Linked DNA regions of Callithrix jacchus. The protein of the gene in region 2 interacts with the protein of the main gene of each other region in a biochemical or structural test. Links are inferred from orthologs where the notes say so. Each region holds a gene or a part of one and is shown on either strand. Other genes may lie near its edges.

Region 1 (9,828 bases), on a different chromosome or scaffold from region 2:
GCTGCTCATACCACTGGTCTGAACAGCTGCTGTCACCACTTTCTTATGTCACCTTCACTCAGGAACGAGCCTTGTGCAGACATGTAAAACAGCACCCACAGGCAGAGGGAAATTCACTTTCACTGAGCCTTGTTAAGTACTGGCCTGGGGTTGGTGCTCCCTCACCACACAGAGCTGCAGAAGCCTTGTGGCTCTGCCCTCAGACACACACTCTGAGTCCCAGCTATTTGGAAGGCTGAGGTGGGAGGATCACTTGGGACCAGGAGGTCAAGGCTGCAATAAGCGGTGATCATACCACTGCACTCCAGCCTCAGTGAGAGAGGCCCTGTCCCAAGAAAAAAATTATCTTAAAGTTTCCTGTTTTAGCTTCAATTCATGCAAACTGCATTCCAATCTACAGTAGCTGCAGGACTTTCTAAATAATAAAATGCTTTCCACTGAGTAACACTGAAGTGGCAGTGTTCTCGTCTATAAAATGGGAATTCAACCCACATCAATTCTGTTCAATGTCTATGAAATGAGACAATTTGTGAAACCATCAAGCAAAGTACAAGGCATCCCAGCAGACATTTTGCTTTTGTTTTAGAGATCAGGTCTCATTATGTAGCCCAGGCTGGTCTTTTCTTTTCTTCTGAGACGGAATCTTGCTCTATTGCCCAGGCTAGAGTGCAGTGGCACAATCTTGACTCACTGCAACATGTCTCTGAGGTTCAAATGACTCCCAGGTTCCTGCCTCAGTCTCCCAAGTAGTTGGAATTACAGGCATGCGCCAACACACTTAATTTTTGTATTTTTAGTAGAGACAGGGTTTTACCACGTTGGCCAGGCTGGTCTCAAACTCCTGACCTGGGGGGATCAACCCGCCTCAGCCTTCCAAAGTGCAAGGACTGGCCGGTCACAGTGGCTCATGCCTGTAATCCCAGCACTTTGGGAGGCTGAGGCAGGCAGATCATGAGGTCAGGAGATGGAGACCATCCTGGCCAACATGGTGAAACCCCATCTCTACTAAAATACAAAAAAAAAAAAATTAGCTGGGTGTGGTGGCGTGCACCTGCAGTTCCAGCTACTCAGGAGGGTGAGGCAGGGGAATTGCTTGAACCCGGGCGGGAGAGGATGCAGTGAGCTGAGATTGAGCCACTGCACTACAGCCTGGGCAACAGAGCAAGACTCCATTTAAAAAAAAAAACAAAAAACAAAAAAAAACACAGTGCTAGGATCACAGGCCTGATCCACCACAGCCCTGAATCCAGGCTGGTCTTGGACTCCTGGGATCAAGCGATCCTCTTGAAGTGCTGTGATTATGGGCATGAGACACTGCACCAGGCCCCAGCATATAATTGATACAAATGTTGAATCATAATCAGTGTCAAGGCTGGTCTCGATTACCTGGGTCAGGAGGTCTGACCAACATGGAGAAACCCCATCTCTACACAAAATACAAAAATTAGGGCCGGACACAGTGGCTCACACCTGTAATCCCAGCACTTTGGGAGGCCAAGGTGGACGGATCACCTGAAGTCCAGAGTTAGGAGACAATCCTGGCCAACATGGTGAAACCCCATCTCTACTAAAAATATAAAAATTAGCTGGGCGTGGTGGTATGCCCCTGTAGTCCCAGCTACTTGGGAAGCTGAGGCAGGAAAATCTCTTGAACCCAGGGGGCGGAGGATGCAGTGAGCCGAGATCCCACACTGCACTCTAGCCTGGTGACAGAGCTAGACTCCAACTCAAAAAAAAAAAAAAACCCATTAGCTAGGCATGGTGGCGAATGCCTGTAATCCCAGCTATTCAAGAGGCTGAGGCAGGAGAATTGCTTGAACCCAGGAGGTGGAGGTTGTAGTGGGCCGAGATCATACCATTGCACACCAGCCTGGGCGACAGAATGAGACTCTGTCTCAAAAATAAAATAAAATAAAATAAAATAAAGAAAGAATCTTGGCGTTGAATTATGATTTTATGATTTACCTTCAAACCCCTACCTACCCATCAGAGGCAAAAGCTATTTTCTAGTCTCTGCCAGCACTGGACTAGCTTCTTTCTTTGTTTCTAATTCTGCAAGGTATCTAGCATCCCCATTTTACCCACTGTTAAAAGATAAGGTCACATCTGACCTTAACAGGCCCACTGTTAAAAGATAAGGTCACATCTGACCCCAAATCCCAGCCCCAGCTCTACCACTTTCTAAATGCATGACCTTAGGCAAGCTACTTAAGTTCCTTTAGCATGTTCTCTAAAGCAGGAAGAAACATAGGCTCATTGAGGTCAAGTAACAAGCCCAAGGTCACACAACTGATAAGTGGGGGAGTCGGGATGAGAACTCAGGTCCAACTGCCTCCAAAGTTCTAGTGCCTTACACCCTACCACACTGCCTGTTTCCTGGGGAAGGGCAGGAAGTAAAAAAAAGTACTTGCCTGGTGGGCTGAATTTAAACGTATGCTCTTGGCTGGGCATAGTGGCTCATGTCTGTAATCCCAGCACTTTGGAAGGCCGAGGAGGGTAGATCACAAGGTCAGGAGTTTTGAGACCAACCTGGCCAACATGGAGAAAGCTCATCTCTACTAAAAATACAAAAATTAGACAGGTGTGGTGGCATGCACCTGTAATCCCAGCTACTTAGGAGGCTAAGACAGGAGAATTGCTTGAACCTGGGAGGTGGAGGTTGCAGTGAGCCAATCGTGCCACTGCCCTCCAGCCTGGGCAACAACAGCAAGACTCTGTCTCAAAAAATACAAAAACAAAAAATGTATAATCTTGCTCTGTTTCCATGTAAATTCTAATGACCAGAGCTCCTGGTGGCCAGCCACATTCTTCCCACTTGCAATCAGCAGGCAGTACCAGCAGGGAAACAGAGGACTAATCAGAGGCCTCCTCTGCTGGTTCCCCCTCAACCCTGCCCAGAGGGACCCCTGAGTTCACTCACTTTAACTTTCATTTTCTAGCCATTAAGACTTTCAGGTTCCCAAAAAATTAATGGCATGCAGATGTCAGCAAACTGTCTGGCCCTGAAAAGGACTGACTTGGGACTCCTGTCTTGGTCCTCAGAGGCAGAGAAGAAAGGGGTCAAGAGAGAAGACAGGAGTTTGGGTTGAGGTGGGGGAAGAAAATGAGAAGAGAGCTGTGCCAGTGATGAGGAGGGCTAAAGGATTAACAGTCTGCCCTCGTGGTGCAGCGCACTCACCCTGCATGTTCATTCATTTAGCAAACAAACCAGGCCAAAGAAGGCCCACTATTAAAAGATAAGGTCACATCTGACCCCAAATCCCAGCCCCAGCTCTACCACTTTCTAAATGTATGACCTTAAGCAAGCTACTTAAGTTCCTTTAGCATGTTCTCTAAAGCAGAAACACATACTTGCCTTATCTTACTCCAAAAAAGAAAAAAGTAACAAAAATTAAAAACAAGTGGGGAAACAAACCCCACTATTCCCAGGGTACCTGTGAGGAATATGTATGAAAATAACTTTGTAACTTTAAAATGATTTTTAAAAATTAGTGTTATTGCCCCTCTACAGTTTAACAGCCCACTAATCATGAGAGGCAAGAGGGCAGGAGAGGAACAGCATCAGAAAGGAGGGGTTTCTGTCACACACAGAGCCATAGCTTTCTGCCAAGCAGTCAGACCTCTGCTTGGACTATAATTTCTGGATGCCAGAAGCAGCTGCATTCTCTCCCAAAGCACTGGGGCCTTCCTCGTCTGTCTAAATGGCCGAGCTTCCCCTTCAAAAGTCATTTCAGGCCGGGTGCAGTGGCTCACACCTGTCATCCCGGGACTTTGGGAGGCTGAGGCGAGTGGATCACCTGAGGTCAGGAATTCGAGACCAGCCTGGCGAATATGGCGAAACCCCATCTCTACTAAAAATACAAAAATTAGCCTGGCGTGGTGGCACGCTCCTGTAGTCCCAGCTACTTGGGAGGCTCAGGCAGGAGAAGCCCTTGAACTCAGGAGGTGGAGGTTGCAGTGAGCAGAGATCATGCCACCACGCTCCAGCCTCGGTGACAGAGCAAGACTCCATCTCAAAAGAAAAACAAACCAAAAAAAATTGTTTCAGAGTCAGAGCTGGAAGAGCATGTCCAGACAAAGGAAAAAAGGTCTCCTCAGAAGGCTGGTCAGTCTCATCCCAGGACTCCTGAAGACTGACAAACCATGGTCCACTCCTGAAGACGTAAGTCTGGTCAGAGACCAATGGCCAGTGAGCAGTCAGGCCTCTCTGACCCTGCCCCTCAGATGCCCAGGCTGCCCAGATCAGAAAAACTAGATTGGCTGAAGAAGTCTCCAATGAGCCCCCAAGGAACCCACACAGATAAAGAGCTTGTGATCCAGCTGTTGACCCTAATAAGGAAGGCTTCTGTTGTCCAATAAAAAGTGAAATAAGTAGGCTGGGTGCGGTGGCTCACACCTGTACTCCCAGCACTTTTGGAGGCCAAGGCAGGCGGATCATGAGGTCAGGAGTTCAAGACCAGTCTGGCCAACATGGTGAAACCCTGTCTCTACTAAAAATACAAAGTTAGCCGGTATGATGGCATGCGCCTGTAATCCCAGCTACTCGGGAGGCTGAGGCAGAGATTTGCTTAAACCTGGGAAGTGGAGGTTGCAGTGAGCTGAGATGGGGCCAATGCACTCCAGCAGGGGGGAAGTGGGGGCGCTGGGGGAAGGTGAAATAAGTCCTAGGTCTACTCACAAGACTGGAGAAATCAGACACTAGTGACTGTCCAGAAGTACTCAAAAACACCTCAATACCAAAAAACAGCACTTTTAAGCAGCACGAGAGGGTGGTAAAGGTAGCTCAGAAAACTGAAGAGCTACAGACATTCCCACTATCTATCCCACTTGCTATCTACATATCCACTGTAGATAGCAAGGGTCAGTCACGGCCTCAGAGACAGGCTACTCCTCATTAAGGTACAGTCTCGGGCCTGTACTTTGGCCACATAACAAAGCTTGGTCAGAGACAGCAGCTATTTCACACACCTAAGCCCCAAGCAACAGTCCATACGGTTGAGGGAACCAGCATTTTCTGGCATGTGTGGGAATTCTTCAGGCTACAATTCAGACCCCAGAACTGCCAGTGGGATCTTGACTTAGTCCTCAGTAATAAGTCCAAGCCCAGAAGGGATTAGATACCAGCGCGGTGTGGACCTGTTGCTCAGGGTGGTTTATGTGTGTGTGTCTGGAAGTGGGAAAGAGATAATTCTTCAACTCCAGACTCCTCATTTTGGGTCTTATTCTCCTGCCTATAGACACACGGACAGCAGTCCCGGGAGAAGCAGTCCCTTTGAGGAGGCTTGAAAACTACTCACGTGCTCTGGGAGGACAGAGCTGAGCCTGGAGCAAGGGGGGAGGGGAGAGAAGATAATGAATGGGCATATCCACCCTGATCTGTGATCTGTAGCTAGGATTGAGCAAACCTCAGCTAAATTCTTCAGGGGCAGAAAGAGAGAGACACTCAGAGAACAACATAACTAGAGAATAGGGCAGGGAGACAGAAGGGGCAAAGCAAGAAAACATCTCATTCCTACTAAATGACCCAGACTTTTAACTGAGGTCCTGGTTGGTTTTCTGGCTTGAGGAAAGAGGGAAGTAAGGAGTTGTGGAAGCGCAAATACACTTCTGTGCGTGTGGAACGGTCTCACCCAGACGACCCCCTCCCCCATAGGAAATCGACATATTCCTCTAGGGCTGGAGGGGACAACTGGTTTCGTGGGACAGGAGGAAGGAAAACGGCGACAGACAGCACTCCCTGTCACTTCTAAAAGACAAGAAGGACAGGTTCCTTCACACCTGGCAAAGATCCTTCGATTCTGGGAGCAAGGCGAGCGGAACTTAGGGTTCCTCTCTCCCACAACTGGAATGGACAGGCCAGAGAACAGTCATAGGAGTTTCCTTAAGGCTCACGAAAGGCAGGTAAGCTAAAGAAAGAAGCTCCCCCGCTCCTTTGGCCCGACGCCTGGGGAACCCCTTAGGAGGAGGCTACGGGTCGGGGGAGGGGTCATTATCCCCCTAAACGGGCTGGGTGGTGAGTAAGGGCTGCCCTGGAGATGCTTCAACGCAGGCGAGACACCAGGTTCGGGGACAGGCATACTCACGGCGGCTCCGGGACGGCAGCGTTACTTGGGGCCGGGACTCGGACAGGCTTCGCTTCTCTCCCCCCCCCCCGGCGGTGTCCCAGGCTCCGGCCTCCACTTCCGCCTTTCAGCCGCTCCGGATCCGGATCTCCACCTCCGTCCCGCCCCTCAATACTACCCAGGTGATTGACAGGGTAGAGGGACTAATGGAAGGCACTCTTGGCCGACCTATCCAGCGGCTCCGGTAGAAACGCGGGAGTGGTTGGAGGGCGCGCGCGAAGGATGGCGGGACTTGTAGTTCGCAGCGCTGGGAGGAGTTGGCGGCTGCCTGGGATTTGGGCTTAGGGTGGAGCCGGCTGACTGCGAGGCGGAGCCCGGCCGGGAATTATTATTTTTTTGTGAGGAGTCTCAGTCTGTCTCCCAGGCTGGAATGCAGTGGCGCGATCTCGGCTCACTGCAACCTCCGCCTCCCGGGTTCAAGCGATTCTCCTGCCTCAGCCTCCCGAGTAGCTGGGATTAAAGTCATGCACCACCACGCTCGGCTAATTTTGTATGTTTTGTAGAGACGGGGTTTCACCATCTTGGCCAGACTGGTCTTGAACTCCCAACCTCGGGTGATCCGCCTTCTTCGGCCTCCCAAAGTGCTGAGATTACAGGCCAGAGCCACCGTGCCCGGCCTACGGCCGGGAACTTTTTAAGGCCAAGCCTGCCACCCGCGTCACCGCCGGTTCCGGACGCCCGAGGGAAGGCGAGTGGCGGAGAGTTGGAAGAAGGCAGAGGACTGTGTGTGCAGAATTGGAAAAGGAAAAACATGGTGCGAATGAATATGCACGCGAGGCTGCGTGGACCAGTCCTGTGAACTCGCTGATCTGGAGCAGCCCCTGTCTGCGCTTTCCGGCCAAGTCAGCTTGGGAAGCCCGATTGCTGGGGGCCTCTGTGATGGGGAAGGCGATGAAAGCGATGAAAGGCTGTAGGAAAGGTTCTCTGCAGGATGCTGAGTGAGATCAAAGGGAGAGCTTCTGCCACCACCCCCTACTTGGTGTGTCGGGGGGGGGGCCGGCGCAAAGACCATCTCCGCCTCTGCCTTCCCCTGCTCCCAGCCAGGGTCAGCTCTTCTCTCTGACGCGGAATGTAGAGCTGGATAACCTCTGGCTCGGACCTCTCCATCTGAAAATAAAGACTAGAACCACCCCCACTCTGCCCCTCCCCATATGGATCAGGACTATTTGTTTCTTCTGCTCCTCTGAATATGGATCCGGCCAGCTCCTGATTCCGCCCACCCTTACCTCTCAACACAGACTAGTACCTCCTCTTCCTTTGCATGTTACCCTCCAGGGACACTACTGAAAACCTGTGTAGAATCAAAGCTCACTGGAGACAGCTGTGACCATTGTGCCTCTAGTACTGGCCAACACCGGGCATATCCTGGAGCCTCAGCTGGAGAATCGACCTCTCTGGGACAACCTGCCACAAAACTGTGCCCACATCTAGTTCCATCTGGTCAGCAGGGTGTCTCTTTCTTACATCCATAACACACAATCCCCACTCCAGTGCAGGTGATCATGAGAGAAGTGAAAGGGAAGAGGGAAGAGGGCTTGTTGGCTTGTTGGAAGGACAGAGTGGATGGGGCGGAGTGGGATTCCTAGCAGGCTTTGGCTGCTGACAGGCTAGCTCTTCCCCCCAGCCCCGCTTCCATACCCAGCTCTGCAACAGTTCCTTACACAGGAGGGATGGGTAGTCCCCTGGGCCCACCCTTCCAAGGCTGGGGGTGGGCCTGAGCCAGGATTCTGTTCTTCCCACATACTGTGTGTTTATGTGGCTATGACTGAGGTGCAGGGGAGAAGGGAATATAACAGGCCCATAGTGATTAATTAAGATTTCTCCCTCATTTCTGGGGCCCCTGGTGGTGTGAATGTGGTGCCAAATAGATTGGCTGGTGCCTCCATCCTTCCTAGAGATAGCAACGGGGCCCTGGGGTACAGCGGGGGGTGAGGGGGGTAGGGGTGGGGAGTGATTGCTATGTTGCTCCTCCAAAGCCTTGGGACTCTCAGACTAACCCCCAGATATACCCAGAGCCAATAACTACAAAAATAAAGACTTTATTTTCTATCCAAAAGTGAGCCCAAGATGTTGGGTGGTAGAGAAGAGCTGGAGACCTGGGTGAGTTTTGGAGCCATCCAGGCCTTGCATGAAACCATGTTGTCATGGGGGAGAACAGGCTTGGCAGAGGTCTGGGGGTCGGGGAGGGATAGGGCGTGCTGTAGGGATTTTTGAGTTGCTAGTAGCAGAAGAGACCAGCCTGAGAGACAGCCTGCAGAGAGACAGAAACAGAGATGTTGCCAGACTCATGCCTAGGAGTAGAAGCAGACACTACTGGGCCCCAAAAGCACCTGTTAGGCACAGGGACCTGGGAACAGGCTCTTATGTAAGGAGGCGGGGGTTGCACCTCCACCCGTGGGCTCCACCTGGATATTCCAAATTGGGTGAGGCCCAGGAATCTACTTTTTATTTAGTTATTTATTTTTGGGCCACCATCCTGGCAGAATCTACATTTTAATGGGATCTCAGGTAGTTCTGATGGACACTCAAGTTTTGGGAACTCAAATACCTACAGAGAGCAGACAAAAGTTTCAAACGAGGGAATCTAGCCGGGTGTCGGGAGATGATCATGAAACCCTTGACCGCAAGTGGTGACTGCGAAGTAGGGCGCAGAGCAGATTCCATTAAGGAGGACAGTGGCCACCTCTTCGCCCCTGCTGATTTCAATTATTGCCAGATGGAATGTTGGCCCATGGTAGCCAGATGTCCTGGGTTTTTTGTTTTTGAGACAGAGTATCACTATCACCCAGGCTGGAATGCAGTGGTGTGATCAATGCTCGCTGCAGCCTCAACCTCCTGGGCTCAAGTGATCCTCCCACCTCAGCCTCCGGAGTAGCTGGGACCACAGACACACACCACTACACCTGGCTAATTTTTTATTTTTATAGAGTTGGGGCATGGCGGAGGTCGGGGGGGTCTTGCTATGTTGCCCAGGCTGGGTTCAAGTCATTCTCCCACTTCAGCTTCTGAAGTAGCTGGAACCACAGGCATGCACCACTACACCTGGCTAATTTTTAAAAAAAAATTTTTTTTCTCTCTCTTTTTTTTTCTTTTTTTTTTTTTTTGAGATGGAGTTTCACTATTGTTACCCAGACTAGAGTGCAATGGCACAATCTTGGCTCGCCGCAACATCCGCCTCCTGGGTTCAAGCAATTCTCCTGCCTCAGCCTCCCAAGTAGCTGGGACTACAGGCACGCACCACCACGCCCAGCTAATTTTTGTATCTTTAGTAGAGACGGGGCTTCACCATGTTGACCAGGATGGTCTCGATCTCTTGACCTTGTGATCCACCCACCTTGGCCTCCCAAAATGCTGGGATTATAGGTGTGAGCCACCGCACCCGGCCCTCTCTCTTTTTTTTAAAATAAAGATGGGGTTTCACCATCTTGGCCAGGGTGGTCTTGAACTCCTGACCTTGTGATCCACCCGCTTCAGCCTCCCAAAGTGCTGGGAGTGAGCCACCACGTCTGGCAAAAAAGTTTTTTTGTTTTTTTTTTAGATGAAGTTTTGCTCCTGTTGCCCAGGCTGGAGTGCAATGGCACAATCTCGATTCACCACAACCTCCACCTCCCGAGTTCAAGCGATTCTCCTGCCTCATCCTCCCAAGTAGCTTGGATTACAGGCATGTGCCACCATGCCCAGCTAATTTTGTATTTTCAGTAGAGAT
Region 2 (10,028 bases):
GTGAGAGGACTATTCTACTTACAAGATCTGATTGAAATGCTTTCCTAACATTTTAGTTTTTGATTAAGACAAGAAATCTGATTTGTTTAAATAGCTGACACGTGGTTGGAAATATTTTACCCTGTAACCATATTACTGTTTATGTAAGTGAACATTGAATTGAAATATAATTTTAAAAACACTTTTTTTAAGTGTCAGAAACTAAACAACTCCACAACTGTGTAGATCTTGTCAATGGTGTGAATGCTAGTCATGTTAAACCCATTTGTTGGGTCAAAGTGAATGTTGATAAAGGGGAATGGAAACTTGAGTTTGGAATTATGATGAACAAAGTCTTCTTTTACTTTCCTAAGTTGCACATGCCAAATGGGAAGCATCTGGCTTTCCTCTGTTGAATTAAGTCCAAATATGCCCAGATAACTTGGCCATTGAATATTTTAGTTGAAGAGTTTCAATTTTAAGTTCAGTCATATGAAGCTTTCATATTGGTTTTTGGCAGACTTGGTAGAGAAAAGAATGCTATGGACTTGGGAAGGATAAGGACATTTAAGTTTTGTCTCTAGGGCACCTTGCTATCCCTCCCTAACCACATGTGTCTTTACTGCTCTGGTGGAGAAAAAGAAATATCTCACATTGTGTCACTTTAGCTCACTGTCATGATGATCACTAACCATCATTTCAGCATTATGACCTTTGAGGCAGTTCAAATTACACAGATGCTTGTGAATCAGTTTATTAATGTATAATGAAATATGTTCTCCTGTCTCCATTCCTGAAGGAGCAATATTATTTATATTGCCAATATTTTAAATTTAAAAAATCACTTAAATTTATTTTGTACTATTTTTGTAATATATTCCCCCCCCTTTTCCTTTTATTTAGCATTCCGAAATAAAAGAAAAAGAAGTAGGAATGAAGAAGCATGAAGAAAATGAGGCTAAACTTACCATGCAGATTACAGCATTAAATGAAAACTTAGGCACTGTGAAGAAGGAGTGGCAATCTAGTCAACGGAGAGTTAGCGAGCTTGAGAAGCAGACGGATGACTTACGGGGTGAAATTGCAGTATTAGAAGCAACGGTTCAGAATAATCAAGATGAAAGGAGAGCACTACTGGAAAGGTGATTAATAGCTAGTAGAATTAGTTTATTTCCATTGTAAGTGATAAAAAGATTATCATATTCCATATTTTTTAAAAATAGAATCTTGAGAAAAGTACATAAGCCTCTATAGGAATTTAAGTAGCCATTTAAAAATTAACCTGTAAAACAATCAGATAGTGGAAATTAATATATTTACAATTACTAAAGTTGTCTATTATCTATACCCTAGAAGAGTCTTTAATGATTTTCTAAAAAATTAATTACCTCTTTGCAATCTATTCCAGATGTCTTAAAGGAGAAGGTGAAATAGAAAAGCTTCAAACCAAAGTGTTAGAATTGCAAAGAAAGCTGGATAATACAACTGCAGCAGTGCAGGAGCTGGGCAGAGAAAACCAGTCACTTCAGGTCAGTCATCTATGGTTGTGAGGCAGCTTTTTAGTCTAGAGTGACTTCTTAGTGCAAAGCATATTTTTAACTTGTAAAAAGTCTCATGTTTTATAAATACTTTCAAATAGCTACTGTCTGTGTAGCAGTATTGTAGGTTTTATGGATAATGAAATATAAAAGAAAAGAACTTGTTTCAGAGTCCTCAGAGATTCATTAGAAAACCGTGTCATTCACCAATTGTTAGTATGGGGAGAGAACTACAAAATTCAAGAATACCAAAGAATAGATGAGTCAGTATGTGTTAAAGAAGTGATCTGAGAATATTCTCAGAGTCCTCAGGAAGGATTCATCATTACCTTTAGAATGGATCAGAAATCAGCAAACATTAGCAAGATGTTTCAGGAATAATATTCAATTAATTTTATTTTGTCATTCAGATTTATGACTATAGCTACTTTTGACAATTGAAGCTGACCAGTTGTATTTCTGGTTTTTTAAAATTTTAATTTATGGATTATATAATCAAAACTTTATAGAATTCTGGCATCCTTTAAAATGTTGAATATTATAATATATTGATACTTTTTTTTAAAAAAAACAGATCAAACATACACAAGCGTTGAATAGAAAGTGGGCCGAAGACAATGAAGTACAAAACTGTATGGCCTGTGGGAAAGGCTTTTCAGTAACAGTGAGACGGGTAAATGAAATTTTCTTCATGTAACTATGTTTCTGGATTTCATTTGTCACTGAAAATTAATTAATATTTCAACCATCAAAACAATCCTTCATTTGACAGAACAATTTTCTACTTATCAGTAAACTTTACCAGCAACATAGAATAACTAAACTTCATGCAGTCTAGCTTCTGGTTAGCATATATGTTAGAGTTTTACTTTTAACTTCAGTCTTTGTCTTCCAACTTAGTTACTGTCTGGAACAATCAATTTTGAACCAGTGTGCCAATATTAAACTCATGTTTTAGTAATCAGCAGGTTCTTAAAGGAAGAAAAAGCAGAGATTTTTAAAAAATATATTCTAAATGCTACCATTGTGTTATGATTTAAGTTTATATTCCTATTGAAGACATTAATGCCTGAAACATTTGGCAAATAGGAATAGTTTTTCATTTGATAGGGATACTTTATAAGAACTTTTTAAATGACTCTCTGGTTCTTTTGAGAGTTCCATGATAAATTCCATGTAAAATATTTACCATAGTGTTTGATAAATAGGAAGCATTCAGTTTAATTATAACAAAGGGATTAAATTAACATATTGAAACATTATATCATTAACTAATATATCAATGACTTGAAAGCTAATATACCTTCACAGTGTAGTCGGTGATATTTGTGTAGTTTCATAATACTTTTGGTATAGTTTTTATTCTTGAAATTGTTTAATTTTTGTTATTTACAGCATCACTGCCGACAGTGTGGAAATATCTTCTGTGCTGAATGTTCAGCCAAAAATGCCTTAACTCCTTCTTCCAAGAAGCCTGTTCGTGTCTGTGATGCATGTTTCAATGACTTGCAAGGATAATGGGTTATCATGACTTCAGAGTAATATTACACTAACATTAGATTTTTAATAAATGTACTTAATAGAGGTCTTGGACTACTATTTGATTTGGACACTGGTTGCAATACTAGACCAAATAGGAATTCATATATTTTGGAATGTTACGGATATCAAGTAAAACTCTTCTATTTTTGTGAGACTTGGGCTTACCATCTTTCACTACTTTTTTTCCATTTAGCCTCATGGAATAGCTTTCATGCCAAGTTTAGAATTAGCCAATGAAATGTAAATAAACTTTGGACAGAAAATAGCAATGTATTTTTTTAAATATAATTTCATTATTCACAAATGAAGAATGCAATTCCATAGCTTATTTCTTTCTCCTAAATTTAATGTGCAGAAATGTACATGGATGATATCACTTGTTGCTGTTTTTGTTGCACAAGAGCACATTAATTATATTAAATATTCTCTTTGTGAAGTCATGCACAGAACTATAACACTTTCCTGCTATCTTTTTCTATTATATATAGGTTCATAGCTCAGTTGCATTGTTATGTTTAAAATTTACTACTTAGGTGTTCTTAATACAGTTTATCTTAAAATACAGTGACCATGAATTCAAAAATGGTTTTTGTTTTAACAATGTTAATTAAATTCTCTTGGGTGGATTTTACGAAAACGTCTGTAAAATCAATTTGCTTACTTACAGTTATCTGGGGTCGTATTTTAAAGAATAGGGTTAATTTTTTTTTTTTTTGGTCATTCTCTGTCTCTCTCTTAAACTCTCACATACTGTCCATTTAGAATCTTAGAAAGCTTCTTACCCTTGCCTTCAGTTCGAGGGTGAATAATAAACATTGTATAATGTTCTTATTCTCGGTTTCTTGTAAGTGAGAAGTCTTTTGAAATCAGCCTTCATATCATACCCTTATTTTGTCTCTCTAGTTTGCTTTTTACAAACTCTCTGAGTTTGCGTTTTATACAGATCTGCTTTTTTCCTTTATTTGGTTTAACCTTTTCAATCATAGCTCAGCTTCATACATTTGTTTCATAATTTTGCATCTTAAAGCTAGTAACTAATATTGCTGTGGTTTTGTCTGTGAAAACAAGATATAAAATGGTAAGAAGTCATGAAGTCATTAAATATTTTATTTTATATTTTTTACCTTATATGGAAGAATTTTTAAAAGTTGTAAAATTGACTAAAGGTTAAAATGGTTCTGAGTTTGGTGTTCCATATCAGCTGTTCCCAGTTTTACTTATAATTTTGCAAAAATAATGTTGTGAAGTTCCCTTCAAGTAACTAACAGCTGGGAATAGAGTATCACCAAAAATAAATATATTTAGGAATCCCAGAGTTACAATAAAAACTGAAACAGCATGGCTAAGCACCTTAAGGTTAATTAAGAATTAGCTTGTTTGTATGCTGAACAATGGAATCAAACTTTAATTTAGCATAGTCTTATTAATTTGGAAAATTGTAAAACATCGCAAGAGAGAAGTCGTTAATATTGGTTTATTAATCTTTCTAGAGAAGAAATGTAGTTATACATTCATTCAGTGCAGTCATTTTATAACAGTAGTTCATATTTCATTTATAATGAATAGTTTATAGTATACATTTGCTTTCAAATATTCTGAAATGGAATTATCATATTTATGCCATACTTACAACATATATAAACTGTAAGAGATCACTACATATTTGTTTAATTATTTTTTTAAAAATTTAAGTAAACCCTGTCTGTTGTCATTAGCTATTAAGAATACTGATTAAGTCCCTGGACTTGGATAAACATATATCCTTGAGCATATATAATGAAGAAATACAGTGGCTCTTTATTAAAAATAATAGTTGGATAATATAAACTGAACTATTTATGCATTTTTATATACTGATAAATCCTTCCAAATAGTCTTAATTCTATACTTTTACATATAAATAACTTAGTAAGTATGCTGGAAAAACACAGATGTTCAGCAGTACTGTTTTTTGTTTTTGAGATAATAAAATGCCATGAAAAATCTGGATTTGAATATTTGTTCACTTTATCTCCTAATGGGATGCCCTGCAGGCCTTCTCTTTGTCTCCCCTTTACCCCTAACATAGTCACCAAAAAAATTGTAAGATGACAAGTAAACCATATATAGATGTTTGGATGATTTTTAAAATTTTTATCTAATTTCATTTCATAAGTCCTGAATAATTTGCCTACCATAGGCTACTAATACTGATAATATAAATGAAACCTAACATTTTTTTACTACTATCTCTCCCCAATGTAAAGTGTTTTGGAAACAAAAATTTAAATTTTTTTCCTTTTAAATAAAAAATCATCTTTGGAGTCCCTATTGGCTATAGATTTTAGATGTTTGCTGGTACTATTTATTTTTTCTCAGTGAGTTAGAGCTGGCATGCACAGCTCTTGGCTTTAATGCAAGACACATTGGCATCACATTAGTAAATTCCAAACCCTGGCACAGAATGTAAGTTAAAATTAAGTCTTGCTGGGTTAGTGTACAATAAACTATACCTACAGACTTTTTTTTAATGGAAAGTAGACAAAGCTGCTGGTATAGGATTTGTTCCTTTGAAGAAAACATGAGGGAAACAAACACAAAAACCTCAGTGCAGTGTACAAATAACATTTTGTTCAACTACCTCTTATTGTGGAAGTAGCTACGTTAGTATTTCCTGACAGTAATGTTAAATAGTAACTGCCAAATTTGTTTATTTTCCCATCTCTCTTAAAAAGTCTTCATGATTATTTTATATAGTTTTGAGAACTTTAAAGCCCCCTTTTTTTAAACCTCACATTTGCATAAAAATGGTTAGCTTTTAAGTGGAGAGCAAATTATGATCATATATTTTGATATTCATGACCTGTTTGACTATAGAAGTTTTTTTTTTTTAAATGCACTTTGGCTATAAAACCATGGATGATTTGATTCATAAGATTTAAATGTGCCACCATTATAGTATTCCTAGACATAGCTTGATGAATGGTATTCTGTAATTATAATGTGCCACACATTATCGTGTCTTAAATGCCCTTTGCCTGAATTTTAATGATCAATTTGTTATTGTTGCGGATGTGAATATTGTGCATAAACTTACTAAATTTATGTAAAATTGTGTAAAATAGAACTAGAAGTCACTAAGTTCTTTCTGTGTAGAAGTAATAAATTTATTGTAACACGATGCAGTTGTGTATATGACATTCTGTAATTCCTTGAACTGGAACATACATTCATAACTTCTATATATACTTTTGCATGAACATTTTCTCATTTAGTTTTTGAGTTCATTATTTGTATTGTGTTTACTACTTGTGATCATGTAGTTGTGCCTTATTTTTGAGAAAGGTTAGCTCAGTAAATACTGCAATTTCTAGACCCAGTGATTGGAAGGTTAGTAATTATAAATGTCACTGATAAAGTACATGACACCATTTAAGTCTGTATAAAATACAATGGAAGGATCCTTATTGAATTGTTGCTTTTGTTTTTTTAATATGTTTAAAGATTATATTAAAAAACGTTTCTTTCTAAAGTATAGATTTATTCTCTGACTATAAATTGTTTTGTCTGTTTAACAAAAGAGAACACTATCTTAACCATTTTGCATTATTTATTTACAGAATATTAGGACTTTGCACTTGGATGTAGACAGTGGTGTTTTAATGTTGTTTAATTTAGAATAGTAAGTTTCTGATCTTAAGAGAAATTATTAATGCCATTTTGCTTTAGACATTCCATTTAATATTATAGAGAATTAACAAAACTAAAAAGAAATATAAAAAATACGTAATTAATCCCTTATGTCACTTTGTATCTGTGTTTAATACCCAGATGACCATTTAAAGATACTTTAAATATTATTTATTTATTTATTTATTCTCCCTCCCCTCCCCAAAGATACCTTTTGAAGGCCCAGTGTGCCATTGTTTTCACTATTTTTTCTTCCTGGAAACCATGGTTCTAGAATGGTTTTTGTTCCTCCCCCACAACCTCTTCATTCAAATATGCTAATCTTCTGAAGAGTTTAATGTGCATATCCTCAAGCATCTAATATATTGTATATTAGACGTGTTATTTTGTGAGCTTTATAAAATTTCAGTTTATGTACAGTGTATTCTTGAACTGTTTTACATATTTTGTTAATGTCAGTCTTTCTATCCCTTTAATGAGATCCAGAGGGAGAAAACTACCTTTATACATGTAAATCTGTGGTTGCTGGATTCATGGAACTCAAGGAATTTGAGACCTCACCTCATCCTAGTTGACTGCTTACCTCCTAGGTTGGTTTATATCTAAAAATGTGCAAGATGATTGTTAATTTAAAATTTTTTTTCAGCCAGAAATTTCTTTATAAAATCTTCTCTTGCATAAACCTATATTGTCTTCTCCTGGACATAACTGCTTTCAATCCCATCCAGATGCCATCTCTAGGAATTTGCTTGAAGTCCGTTCTCTCCTTCTTTGCTTTTCTCCCCACCTCATTTATTCTTAACTATTAATAATAGTTACTGCCTCCCAGATTTTCCTTTTATTTTCTCTTCTATTAAATGTCTGACATTATTATAAAGAGATTATTAGTCTCCATTCTAATCATGCTTGCCTTTTACAAAAGCCTTTTGCTGCACTTGGATTTACTGCCTTGTTTGCCTGGTGAAATTTTACCTTTCTCAAAGAATTACGGTGCATATGACTTGCCCAAATATCATCCTCTCTATCCCATTCTTCAGCTTAACAAAATCAACTAAGGCTTCAGTTGTCTTACAGCCAAATTTGATAAATTTACTACTTCCACTTTGCAAACTGCAAAAGGTACGAGCCTGAAATGGAAGTTTGTGGACTTCCATTTGATACAATATTCGGACCTTAAGAACTAGTTCCTTGAATATAGTTAATAGTATATATCCTGCCATGATAATAAAATAATTCTTCAAAATGCCTTTCTTGATAAAAATTCTGAAGAAATTTGAAGTCCTGCCAGATAAATTTAGGTGATCAGAGGTGTGTGTGTTCTGTCACACACACAAACCTCCAATCAAAACCAGAAAGGATTTTTATGGCAAACATCATCATTCTTCCAAAAATGAAGTTAAGAGACAGATATTTTACTATGTGTATGAAAATCTGTACACTTCACAACAGGCCAAGAAAAGCTGTGCAAAAGTATTAACTGGAAAAAGCCAGATTTTCTTCCCCCCTCATCTTAAAGTAATGGAATTCAGTCTTTGGGGTTGTCTACTTCCAGGTTATAGTATTATAAAGTTTACCTGAGATGAGTTTGAGAATAGGAATTTCAAAATTGCTGATAAAATGTAGTCCTTCTTTACTTCTTTGTATATTAAAAGAATAGTCAAGCTTTGTATCTAAAGCGTTAACATTGTGTTTGAGGTAGGACTATAAAGCAGTAAGACTGATTGAAAAGCCATGAAGGAAAATTGGTTTCATTATTTTATAGATACACACAAAGTGAGATGCTGGAGTGCCAATTGGACACAAGCAGTGGACATCGTTTTCCTTCTGATACTCCGTTTATCTGATCATTCACCCTTTACAAATTAGCACCTTTCTTCACTCACACCTCTTACAAACCTGACTGAAACATTAGAAGGTAATCTGGATGTCAGTACATACTTGTCAAGAAATTCTGCAGGGTTCAAATTCGTTGCAGTCATTATTCCTCTATACTGAGGATTTTCCTAGCTCAAATTTCCAAATTCTGGAACTTCTTTAAAATGCACATTTCCTTGTAGCTCATCACTAGCTAAGTGTTAACAAAAGTTTGAATGAGATAATACGTTAAACACTAATCTTCTAAAAAGGCATGCCACTTGTTTTAGGTTCCTAAATTTCAGAGGATTCTGTGGGCAATGTGAATAAAGATATTTTCTTGGTTTCCTGATTCCTGGTAAAGCAAGAAATTGCTGTTGTTATTTGTGCCATCCATGTTTTCTGTTGAAAAAAGAAAAATATAGAAATAGAGATTAGAATGTTAAGCTGACAATTTCTCACATATTGGACTAATATTTTCTGCTATATTTATTGACCAGCTCTTTAAAACTGAAGACTAATGAAATATTTGCATATGTTTTCCATTTTCTTTCTTATATCTAATATACTTCTAATCATATAGGAAAATGCAAATGGGCTAAATGAGTATGATATGCAAGTTGGATAACAGTTATGAGTAATCAAGAAACCATAATAGTAACTCATTAGAAAAATGAGTACTGAGAATATATGTAGTTTGAAAGTGACATTGCTGGAATTTCTATTCTCTGTGAAAACAAGTTCTTAACCAGTGGTATAATTTGAAAGAGACTGAGGGCAGTGACTCAGGAAATGGAATATTGCATTTATTGTCTGGCCATATTGTGGCTGTGATGAAAGCCTACCAGGGGAAATACAAAAATAGAAACTTCTAGGAGAAATCAGAGTCAGGCAGCTGCTCTTTCAATTCCATAGCTGTAAAAACAATGGCAATTTTTCAAAGGCTGACAGGCTGACTTGACACGGATCATTATTGCAGCAGGCCCTTCTTACACTAATATCTTATTATTTGCACTTTGGTAATTGATTGGAGCATCTTAAAAGTTCATCATCATGCAATCCAAAGCAATTCGTACCCCATTTCCTACAGAAACTGCAGAACAGGCAGCTCTTGAGCTTCTGCAGCAGGAGTAAGGGTCTTTATGTCAATTCTGCAAGTGTGAGGAAATTGTCAACACTGAGACTTTGCAGCATTATATGGACTAGATGTATCCCTCCCCTCCTCCCAAATCTGCCCTTCCCAGGTGGATGAGGGAAATACACAAAACTTTCCATTCACTGTTATTTAAGAGGCTTGGGGTGAGATTTTTCTTTATGTAAATGCTGAAGAATCAAAGACCTACAAAGTTAAAATACATACCTTGATGTTTTCTGTTTGGGCTTGTAATAAGAATGCTGCTATACACTGTCGATATCTGTTTTCATGTTGTATAAGAAAAGCATTTC
Region 3 (9,912 bases), on a different chromosome or scaffold from region 2:
TGGATTAATGTTACAGTTTCCGGGAGGTGGTCACAGCTGAATCAATCCATTTACCTCCATGGGAGATGTTAATATATATCTTATTGCTTATTTTCTTTTAACCCAACACTTTAAGCTCAGCCAGGGATCCAAGGGATGATAGAGGTTGCTGGGCAGGAGTGTCAGTGAAGAGGCCAGTTAGATGCTAAGACTGGCTTAAGCTGCCCAGTGCTGGCACTCAGGAATCTGGAAAGTTTAACATTATCACCTGACACCAATCCTTTGTGAGGGCCCAGCAGAACCTTCCTTGTCTTCAGTGTGAGCTGTCTGCTTGTTCTGGAACACTTCTGAGCACTCTCATTCCAGGCGATGGAGAAGAGGAGGAGGCGAGCCCCCACCCTCCCTGTCTCCCATCTAAGATGTCACCGCGCTTTCCACATGAAGACATCTGGAGCTGTAAGGGAGGTTGTGCAGTTTCTATCCGTTTACTTAATAGCACCTCCACCAAGCAGCCACCTTCCTTGGAGTTCTCAGGGACACTCCCCTCCCCACAGACAGAGGCTCCTTCAGTTTCCAGGCCATGTCTCCTTTTTCAAGTCTGGGGGTGGATTGTGGGGTCCACTCACCTCTGTTTCTCTAAATCTCTCAAATCCCTTTCCTACCCTGGTATGTCCAGGATTCATCTCCTTAAAATTTATTTAAACGGCATGAGTTACAAATAAGATTAGGTAGCACATGCTATTTAGAAAGTTTCTGAAACAGAAGGAAAGAAGGAAGGAAGGAGTTGTTATGTAAATGAGAAATACTAAAAGGCTGTTTAACTGATATTGCAGACATTATAGTTCCATAAAAAAGATACAATTATGAAAAACAAGGTTTGTAAACATTTTTATTTTTTCTTAATTGGCCCTTGAGCAGACCAGATGACTCAATACTGGCCTCCAGGGATCAGCCTGCACTCCAGGGCATTATAACATACGTATATCGCTCATCCTATTTAACCTTTTGAGTCATAATTGTTTTCACCTTATTTACTGTAAACAGCTCTATATATCTATGTAGTATACACATTTCATTTAATATCTAAGTAACATATATTCTTGTACACCATTAAGTAGATCCAGTAAAGATACCCTGTCTTGCTTAATCATTCCCTAAATGTTAGGAGATTTGAGTTACAATTAGTGCAGCAATTCTCCCTGTACCTCCATAGAGATAATTCTATTTTGTTTCTCTAATGCATTTGTTTATTTTTCTGTATATGTGTTTACAGTCAGACAGGCAGCTTTTGTTTACTTCTCATCTTTGTGTATTATTCTTCAAAAAAGGATTTCCTGAATCAAAAAACACGATGAGCTTTATGACGGCTCCTGGCTTTTGCTGTTGGAGACTTTATAGCAGCAGAGAAGTTGAGGTCTGAATTAGCACAATGACCTTTTACTTTACAAAATTCTCATAAGAAAAACTTGCATGTTCTGTTTTTTAATTTGATAAATTGTCAGTTATGTATCATTGAATTTTTATCCCTGCTGAAATTATACCAGAACTACATATTTGCAGAAAATTCCAGAGGAGTCGGGATGGGCCCTTAGTGCATTAATCCATAGATTGTAACAATAGAGTACATGGTACTTTAAAAAAATCGAGAGCTTTCGAGAAATACTAAAAAGGCTGTTTAACTGACATTGCAGACACTATAGTTCCATACATAAAAAAGATGTAATTACGCAAAACAAGGTTTGTAAACCTTGACCTGTCACTCCTCTGACCTGTCACTCCTAAAATATGTCTCCTAGCAGTCATCTTCCGGCCTTCCTGGGCCAGACCTTTATGGATTACCTTAGGGTGATGATGGGGACCTGGTTTTCATGAGGCCATGTTTAAGTTCAGGGGTGACCTGGCTGGGGAGAGGGTATAAACCCATGAACACAGTCTAGCTGACAGACGAGGATTGCAACTTTGTAAAGAAGAACCCAAGGCCTGATCAGAAGGAGATGCAAATGAGGTCATTTTTAATAGAACTAGGAGTGGGGAGGACAAATGGATTGGGGTTATTCTCAGAGAGAAAAGGCCTGGATAGGGGACTGTTTTGGGAGAGCCTAGAAACCACAGAAGTGTCCCAGACATCCGGGCTATAGTGGAGAATAGAGTGGAATGAGAGCGGTCATGAAAAAGAGCAAGGGAACACAAGAGAAATTTGGTTTGCTTATTTCTTTCTTTCTTTCTTTTTTTTTTTTTTGAGATGGAGTTTCGCTCTTGTTACCCAGGCTGGAGTGCAATGGCCCGATCTCGGCTCACCGCAACCTCCGCCTCCTGGGTTCAGGCAATTCCCCTGCCTCAGCCTTGAGTAGCTGGGATTACAGGCACACGCCACCATGCCCAGCTAATTTTTGTATTTTTAGTAGAGACGGGGTTTCACCATGGTGACCAGGATGGTCCCAATCTTGTGATCCACCCGCCTCGGCCTCCCAAAGTGCTGGGATTACAGGCGTGAGCCACCGTGCCTGGCTGGTTTGCTTATTTCTCTCTAGGCACGGTTCTGCCCTTAGCAACCTAAGGCAATTTCACAAAGCCCCACTCAATGCACAGGATGTAGAACATGGCAGAAGCTTCCACTCTGGTTTGACTGACTTTTGCGGACTGAGCTGGAAAGCCAAAAGGACACATTTCAGTGTGGACATCCAAGTCTTAGTAGGTGTGGTGAGGGCTGGGAAGGCCTTGGAGAAGTAAGTAAGTGTCTTTGCAACTGTGTAGCTATGGTTTTCTGATTAGCAAATCTGAGGACAGGGAGGTATTGTGACCAGGGCTGTGTGATTCTGGGCAAGCCTCTTTTGACCCTGCCCACATGGAAGACTCTGCTTTGGATACAAAAACAAGGCGGGATACTGATACAATGGACTCTAACTTGTCCATGGCTGCCTTTTGAACAATTTAGTACATTTGAGTAACCTCCGCAAGCCTGCATCTCCAAGGCAAAGTTCCTGCTCTTCTGGGGAATTTACTTGTGAATTGTCTGTTTTGTGTCCCATTTTGACTCCAGCATTCCAGGACTCATCTTTTTGGAAGCCTTGGTTTGGAATTTCCCATTGGATGGGGCCACTTGGGTGCTGGGAAGCTTCAACCTGGCTTCTGTAAGAACAAAGCCTCAAGGGTGGTCTGCTAGGAGAATGGAAATGCCATTGATTAAAATTGGAAGGTTAGGAGAGAGGCCTGAGTTTGGAATAGGAGATGAAGTTTTAAAAAATCAGTTTTTAAAACAACCTTTCTCATCTGAAATGCCAGTGAATATTCAGACAGATTACATTGAAAAGGCTGCCATTTCTGTAGCAGCAACGAATGAAGTCATCTGAGTGGATGAGGTGCACTAGGCCATACATGGAGAAAAGAACGGTTACCCAAGCCTCCCCTGACTGTGTGCGGCCACAGCCTCTTCACATTTCCTAGTTAGGAAGGATGCTGGGGTCTGCTGGGATCTCCATGTTTCTACCTGTACTTCAGAGGGCTGGATTTCTGCCTTGTAGACAAGTCGCAGGATTTGCTCTACTGAGAGAGTTTTTCTGCAGAATGCAAGTTTCCTCTTTCAGACACTGATAGCTGGTTTTGCTTCTAGAATCATTTTCAGCTACATACAGAAAAATGAAATTGGCAGAGCTGACGGAAGTTTGGGTATTAGGAACGTCCAGAAGGCAGGCTGAAAAGTTAACCCCTTCTCTTCACCCCTGTCCTCACTGCGGCCCCCTCAGTGGCCTGACTTCTGCCTGGGACCCAGAATGTCACTTGAGGATGGGACTACCCGCAGACCTCCAAGCGCTCCTACACAAACAGCAAACGGCGTCGGCCGACCGCATCCGCTTTTCAGATGAGAATGGCATCTGCAGGGACCCGCTGGTCCTGGGGCCAGGTCTCCGCAGGGTCTGTCCCGTCCTTCCTTCCCACTGGGACTCTACGGCCAGGCGGGGTCGGGAGAGCTGATGCCGGAGGGCGCTGGGGGAGCCTGGCCCGCGCGGGGCCGGTCCGAGGGCGGAGGCAATCCGCCGGCGACGCCGCAGGTCCCCGGGTGGCTGACGCCGTCCGGGGGCGTTCCTGGGAGCTGGGGGCCGGCGAGCCTGGACCCGACGCGCCCGGGAGGAGCTGGCTGGCGGACACGTGACCCACCACGGCGGGGCCAGCGGCCCAGAAATAGCAGCGGCGGCGATTCCACCCGTTGGCTGCGCGAGCGAGGGACCCAGGCGGGAGACGCCGGCGGGGCGCGGGCGCGGCGGCCCCGGAGGATGCTGCTGAGCCCCGGCCTGGTCCGGCCGCGAGCACATGATGGCAATACGGGAGCTCAAAGTGTGCCTTCTGGGGGTGAGTCCTGGCCGCCACCCGCCGGGGGACCCCGGCCCGCGTCCCCGCGCCCCCTCGCTCCCCTTGACCCCGCGCGCTCAGTCCCCGCGGTCCCCTTGCTCTCCGCACCCCTTTCGTAGCTCCCGACCCCTCTTCCGCGCGCCCACCTGGTTACCCGGGTCCCTTCGCTCCCCTAGTCCGTGCGTCCCTTGCTCTCCGCACCCTCCTTGTTGTCCACGTCCCCCTCGTCCTTGCGACCCTCGGGTCCGCCCCCGCTCTCGCCCTGCGGGGGTCCGGTTGGAGCCTGCCCTGGGCTTTCCCCGCTCTTTCCTCTCCGTTCCCGCGTCTCCGGATCCGCGACGGCCTTGCTGGGACCCTCGGCGGGGACCCGGCAGTGGTATCGGGTCTGGGACCCCGAGGGCTTTCTCCTCCGCCTTTGATAGTTTCCTTCCGGCAGAAAGTTTAAGTTGCTCGGCCAAATCGCTGAGTCCTCTTTTGCCCCCTTTTCACTTAAAACACAAAAATAAAACCAAAAGCGAACCCAGCCAAGGGGGTGAAAGCCGAGGGCGCGGCTAGGGTGGAAGGTGAGGCAGTGACTTGTGTGGAGCGCGTCCTGCAAACTTACCTGCTGCAGATCAAAGAAGCAGGCTGGGAAAGTCCTCCCCACCACCACTCCTCCCAAAGTGAGGTTTTCTCAGCCCGAAGAAGCCTTAAAGCCGCCAGAAACGAAGAAGCAGTGAATCCGGGCGGCCCGGGGACACAGGCAGGGGACCCGGCGAGGACGCAGGGGAGCCGCTGGCGAACAGCCCCTGGGAATCCAGATCAATGTAAGGTCCCTTCCTTTCGGGGGCCCACATCGCATTCCAGAATTCCTTCTTCTAAAAGAGGAGCTGGTTCCAAGGGCGTTTTCAGCAGCCTTTGGCATGGGCGCCTGGTGTACCCGCCCATGTCGTTGGCAAAGCTGGTCTCATGAAAACCATTTCCTAAAAAAGAGCAGCGAAAGGGTCGCATTCTTGTGCGAACTGATCTGTCAAGATGGGGGTACAAGAACTGTAGAAAGAGGAAATGATTTAGGTGAAGACTGAATTGTGCCAGAGTTTCTAGGCTTTCTCTAGGTTTTTCTGGAACCTTGGGCAGGACCATGTTCTCTCCCCTAGCTCCCATCACCGGCCTCTGCCAAAACCATCCTTTACCCTAACTCGATTGTCCAGTTGGTCTAGAATTCCAGAGGATCTGGGAAGGCCCTGCCCTCCCTGGTAGTCCCTGGAGATCCCCACCTACCCCCACTCGCTCAGCCACAGCCAGGATCTAGTCTGGTCTTTCTCTGTTGCCCTATTGGTGTTGCAGAAGTGGATTTCCCTGTTCCCCAGGCCCTCTAATATAGTCCAGACAAACATTCTTGGAATCCCATGCTTCCCTCTTGAGGAGCCATTTCGGCCTCCGGGAAGGCCTTCAGAGAGTTAGAAGGAATGTCATGTTCCAAGGAATGAAGAGGCAGCCTTGATGTGTGCTGTTTGTCAGGATTGGCCTTGGGAAAAATGAAATAGGACATGTTTTTGCCTCTTTTTCTTAAACTCTTTCTCTTGTCTTTTACTGAGGTGGTCTAAGCCCTGCCCTATTAGAGGACCCCTTATTTTCAATTTTGGTATTTAGGGACAGGTCTCTATATCCTCCTGCCAGGACACTGATCAAGTGGTAAGAACACTGTGTCAGGAGGCAGGAAACCCAGGCTCTCATTCTTTCCCACCAACGAGCTGTGTGGTTTAAGCAAAGCAACTCAGTGGCCTCATCTATGAAATGGGCATAATAACATGTTTCCTCTTAAGGCAGAGAACTATACCAGATGATCTCTTAAGACACATGCTACCATTTCCTACTAACATGAGTTCAGGGTGGCAATTAGCAAACCTGGAAGAGGAGGCAGCTGGAGGAAATCTCTTTACTTCTTTTATCTCCAAGAATGAGACACTCTTTGAGTGACTTCCTGCAGGCGGTGCCTTACCTTTGCCAGTTCTGTGGGTAGGAATTTGAAGCTGGAGTTGGGAGAACCATGCCAAAGCAGAGAAAGAAGAGGTTTCTGGGCAGGCGGAAGGCTTTGAAACATCAGTCATGCTGGGCACAGTGGCTCACGCCTATAATCCCAGCACCTTGGGAGGCTGAGGTGGGTGGATCATTTGAGGTCAGGTTCGAGACCAGCCTGGCCAACATGGTGAAATCCTGTCTTTACTAAAAATACCAAAAAAACGTTAGACGGGTGGTAGTAACCCATGCCTGTAATCCCAGCTACTCTGGAGGCTGAGGCAGGAGAATCACTGGAGCCTGGGAAGCAGAAGTTGCAGTGAGCTGAAATCGCACCCCTGCACTCCAGTCTGGGTGACAGAACAAGACTCTGTCTCAAAAAAAGAAACATCAATCATATCACACCACAATTGTGGCTTCCTTTTTTCTTGAGGGTGGCTGTAAGTTTCAGTTTGATTGAAGTCAGAGGACATTTTATTTGAAAGGCCAAATGACCTTTTGTCCACACTAAGTAAGATTTGTTACATCCCCTCGTTTGGCTATCTCTTGTTTGGCTATCTCTTCCGTGGGTAAGATGTGCGCAGCAGGCCGGCTTTCTAGCTACTCGTCCAATTAGGCTGGTTCTCTGGGTGGGAACCAGCCTAATTGGCTCCATTTAAGGGAGATCAAAGCCATTTTAACTGTCTTGGGTTTACTCTCTTCTCTCTCTCTTTTTGTTTGGAGACAGTGTCACATTCTGTCATACAGGCTGGGTGCAGAGGTACCATCATAGGTCACTGCACCTTCCAATTCCTGGGCTCAGTGGATCCTCCTGCCTCAGCCTAGGTTTATTCTTCTGATTGGAGAGACCCTGTGGGTCAGTTAGTGCTCAGTCCAAAAGTCCTTTAAAAAAATATGTATGTTTTTGAGATAGGGTCTCACTCTGTCGCCCAGACTGGAATTTAGTGGTGCCATCACGGCTCACTGCAGCCTCAGCCTCCCAAGCTCAGGTGATGGTCTTACCTCAGTTAAGTAGCCAGGACCACAGGTGTGCACCACCCAGCGCAGCTAAACTTTTGATAATTTTTGTAGAGACGGGGTCTCCCTATGTCGCCCAGGCTCTTTCAACATTTTAACAGGAACCCTGGGCTCCTTTGTTCTTTTCATAGGGAGGTCTGTCTCTTCTGGGTGAAGTTTTGCGTGTCGCTGGCACTCAGCTTCCTGTTTTTCAGCCATGAGGCACCTCCCTGAAGTCTTGATAGGACCAAGATCCTAACAACCACACCTTCTTTGTCCCTGTTTGAATCACTTTCTGTTGGGTTTCTCTTAGAAGCTGATAGAGAATGTAGACTTCATAACAGAATCTCACTCTCTCACTGGGAAGGCTGAGGGGCTGGTCTTTTTGTGCCTGGTCCTGTGCTCAGTGAGGACTTGGGGATGTGCTTCCCATTTGAGGTACAGGTTGGTTTAGGCATGGGCAGTGAGAACTTTCAGCACAGGCTCCCTGCTGGTCACTCTTTGCTGTAGTCTCCTCCTCCATCTACGGGGTCAGGGGTCTTATCTCCTGACATTAGAGTCATTTGCAGGAGGTTGGAGTGAAACTGGGCCAGGTGCCAAGTCTTCTCTACCTGAACTTTTCCTGTCTTCCTGGCATGTTAGGAATGTCTGATCTTACTTCTTTTGGTGAATGCTCCCACAAGGGATGGACAGCGGCTTGTGGAACATTCTCTGAATGCTTTTTGTTCTTGGAAAACCAAAGACTGAAGAGCATTGGGTTTGTTTATGTTATCTGTTATAAATCCTTGGCTCACATTTCATGTGTGGACTTTCTCAGGTTTATTCCACATGGGGATAGCGCAGCAAGCATTTGAGGACGCCCTTTCCTGGCCTAAGCCCCATCACCTATGGAAGTCAGCCATGCAGGAGGGTGTGCCTGACAGGGGAAAGCACCGTGGGCAGGACCCCATGAACCTCTTTCTTACCAGGAAAGTGTCATTCGCCCCACTTTGTGATCTGAACCTGTATTATGAAACATGGAGCTTAAAGGCAACACCCTTAAAAACAGCAAAGTATGTTACAAAAAAAAAACTAACGAAAACAATATTGAGGCAGCAGCTGCTTCAACCCCAAAGGTGGAAAGTTTCCCAGTATGCATTTTTAACACACATCACCATGTGGCAAGAAGCAGGAGGATGGAAGAGAGTGGGGAGGAGGAGAAAGAAAAGGAGGGGACCTTTGTTTTGTTATTTCCTTGTGGTGTTTGTGTGCTTGCACTTAAAAACGGCTTCCTGATGGAATCCCAAAGAGATTTATATTTGGGCTCTGGTTGCCTTGACAACAATTTAGAAATTTCTACCACTTCCCCAGTAGCTGAGTGAGTAGTTAGAAGAGCCGAGGGCTTTCTTGATTCTGGTAAGGAGCTTGTTGAAGCATCTCCTCGTGATCTTTGTTGGAATCTGTGTGGTGGTTCATCAAAGAGCAGCCAAATACCTTTGATTTGGTGAGACATCTAGGTAATGGGGACTTTACCTGTGTCCAAGGCCTCCACACAGAAGGCCTCTTGTCTTCTCAAGGACACTAGGACTCAAGAGTAGAACAGATTTATACTCGCATTAAGGCAGATCATCAGAGCTGTGCAACCTTCCATGGGTTGCTTTGAGCGCGATATGAGAGAGTATTCAATAAATCGACAGGAATTTGTTAGTGTTATTGTGGAAGGAAGGAATGCACTGGATAGTGGGTTGGGATAGTAATGATCACATTTGCTCTCCAAGTCTGAGATTCTAGTAACTTACTATTTTTCTTACCCCAGGGACTGGCATTTCTTGGGGAGGGGGGATGGTGTGGAGGGTGGAGTGGCATTTATTTCTTGGCACACCTGATTCGTTTATTAAACTGAACCATTTGTGGAAAGTATGTTCAACATTGGTGACTCTGGGTAGCTGCTGTGTTACATGAGAATAAATATAAATGATATAGTGGGATGTCTTCCCAGCAGTGCCTGGCATATGGCAACGCTGTGTCTTATGCACCCAGCCAGGCTCATGGGATCCATCAGGGTCCCTTTGTTCCTTTTTTGTTCAGGGTCAACATTGCTGCTTTCATCCTCCCTGGGCTTTCAGAGCTCAGTGCGTCCCTGGTGTGTATATCAGAATCATGTGAGGAGCATTTTCAAGCTTCTCATGGTCTCTTCCCCCATCCCTTGTGTCTTAATTTGAACTGCTGTCATAAAAATACTATAGGCTGGAGGGCTTAAACAATAGACATTTAATTCTCAGACTTCTGGAGGTTGGGAAGTATAAGACCAAGGTGCCGGCAGATCTAGTGTCTGGTGAGGGCTCACTTTCTGGTCTGCAGACAGCTGCCTTCTTTTGGTCTTTGAGTCTCTTTCTCCTCTTATAAGGACACCAACTCCATTCATGGGGGCTCTACCCTCACAACCCAAGCATCTCTCAGATGCCCATCTCCTAATAGTCTCACATTGGGGGTTTAGGCTTCAAAATGTGAATTTTGGTGGGGAGACACGAACATTAATTCCATAGTAGCTTGTCAATAGCTTTGAGGCATGTGGCCCTTACTTTTGCCCTGGTCCAAAGTCTGGTAGACTAC

What was found.
Region 1: the proteins of EEA1 (region 2) and RAB5C form a complex in vitro, tested with the Homo sapiens proteins (2 studies listed by BioGRID and IntAct, with this or other methods). The link is inferred for Callithrix jacchus from reciprocal best matches to the Homo sapiens genes EEA1 and RAB5C.
Region 3: the proteins of EEA1 (region 2) and RAB31 form a complex in vitro, tested with the Homo sapiens proteins (2 studies listed by BioGRID). The link is inferred for Callithrix jacchus from reciprocal best matches to the Homo sapiens genes EEA1 and RAB31.

What each region holds. Positions count from the first base shown.
Region 1 is NC_133506.1:121,570,985-121,580,812, forward strand, and holds the start of RAB5C (ras-related protein Rab-5C), read right to left. Parts: upstream 6,185-9,828; 5' UTR 6,084-6,184; intron 5,902-6,083; exon of another isoform or gene 5,442-5,901; intron 1-5,441. UniProt on the Homo sapiens protein: The small GTPases Rab are key regulators of intracellular membrane trafficking, from the formation of transport vesicles to their fusion with membranes.
Region 2 is NC_133510.1:88,430,637-88,440,664, forward strand, and holds the end of EEA1 (early endosome antigen 1), read left to right. Parts: intron 1-882; coding exon 883-1,121; intron 1,122-1,387; coding exon 1,388-1,508; intron 1,509-2,091; coding exon 2,092-2,190; intron 2,191-2,912; coding exon 2,913-3,035; 3' UTR 3,036-6,570; downstream 6,571-10,028. Other genes in the region: PLEKHG7 (pleckstrin homology domain-containing family G member 7), read right to left, coding at 8,877-8,984, 9,943-10,028. UniProt on the Homo sapiens protein: Binds phospholipid vesicles containing phosphatidylinositol 3-phosphate and participates in endosomal trafficking.
Region 3 is NC_133514.1:53,218,898-53,228,809, reverse strand, and holds the start of RAB31 (ras-related protein Rab-31), read left to right. Parts: upstream 1-4,182; 5' UTR 4,183-4,287; coding exon 4,288-4,326; intron 4,327-4,930; exon of another isoform or gene 4,931-5,185; intron 5,186-9,912. UniProt on the Homo sapiens protein: The small GTPases Rab are key regulators of intracellular membrane trafficking, from the formation of transport vesicles to their fusion with membranes.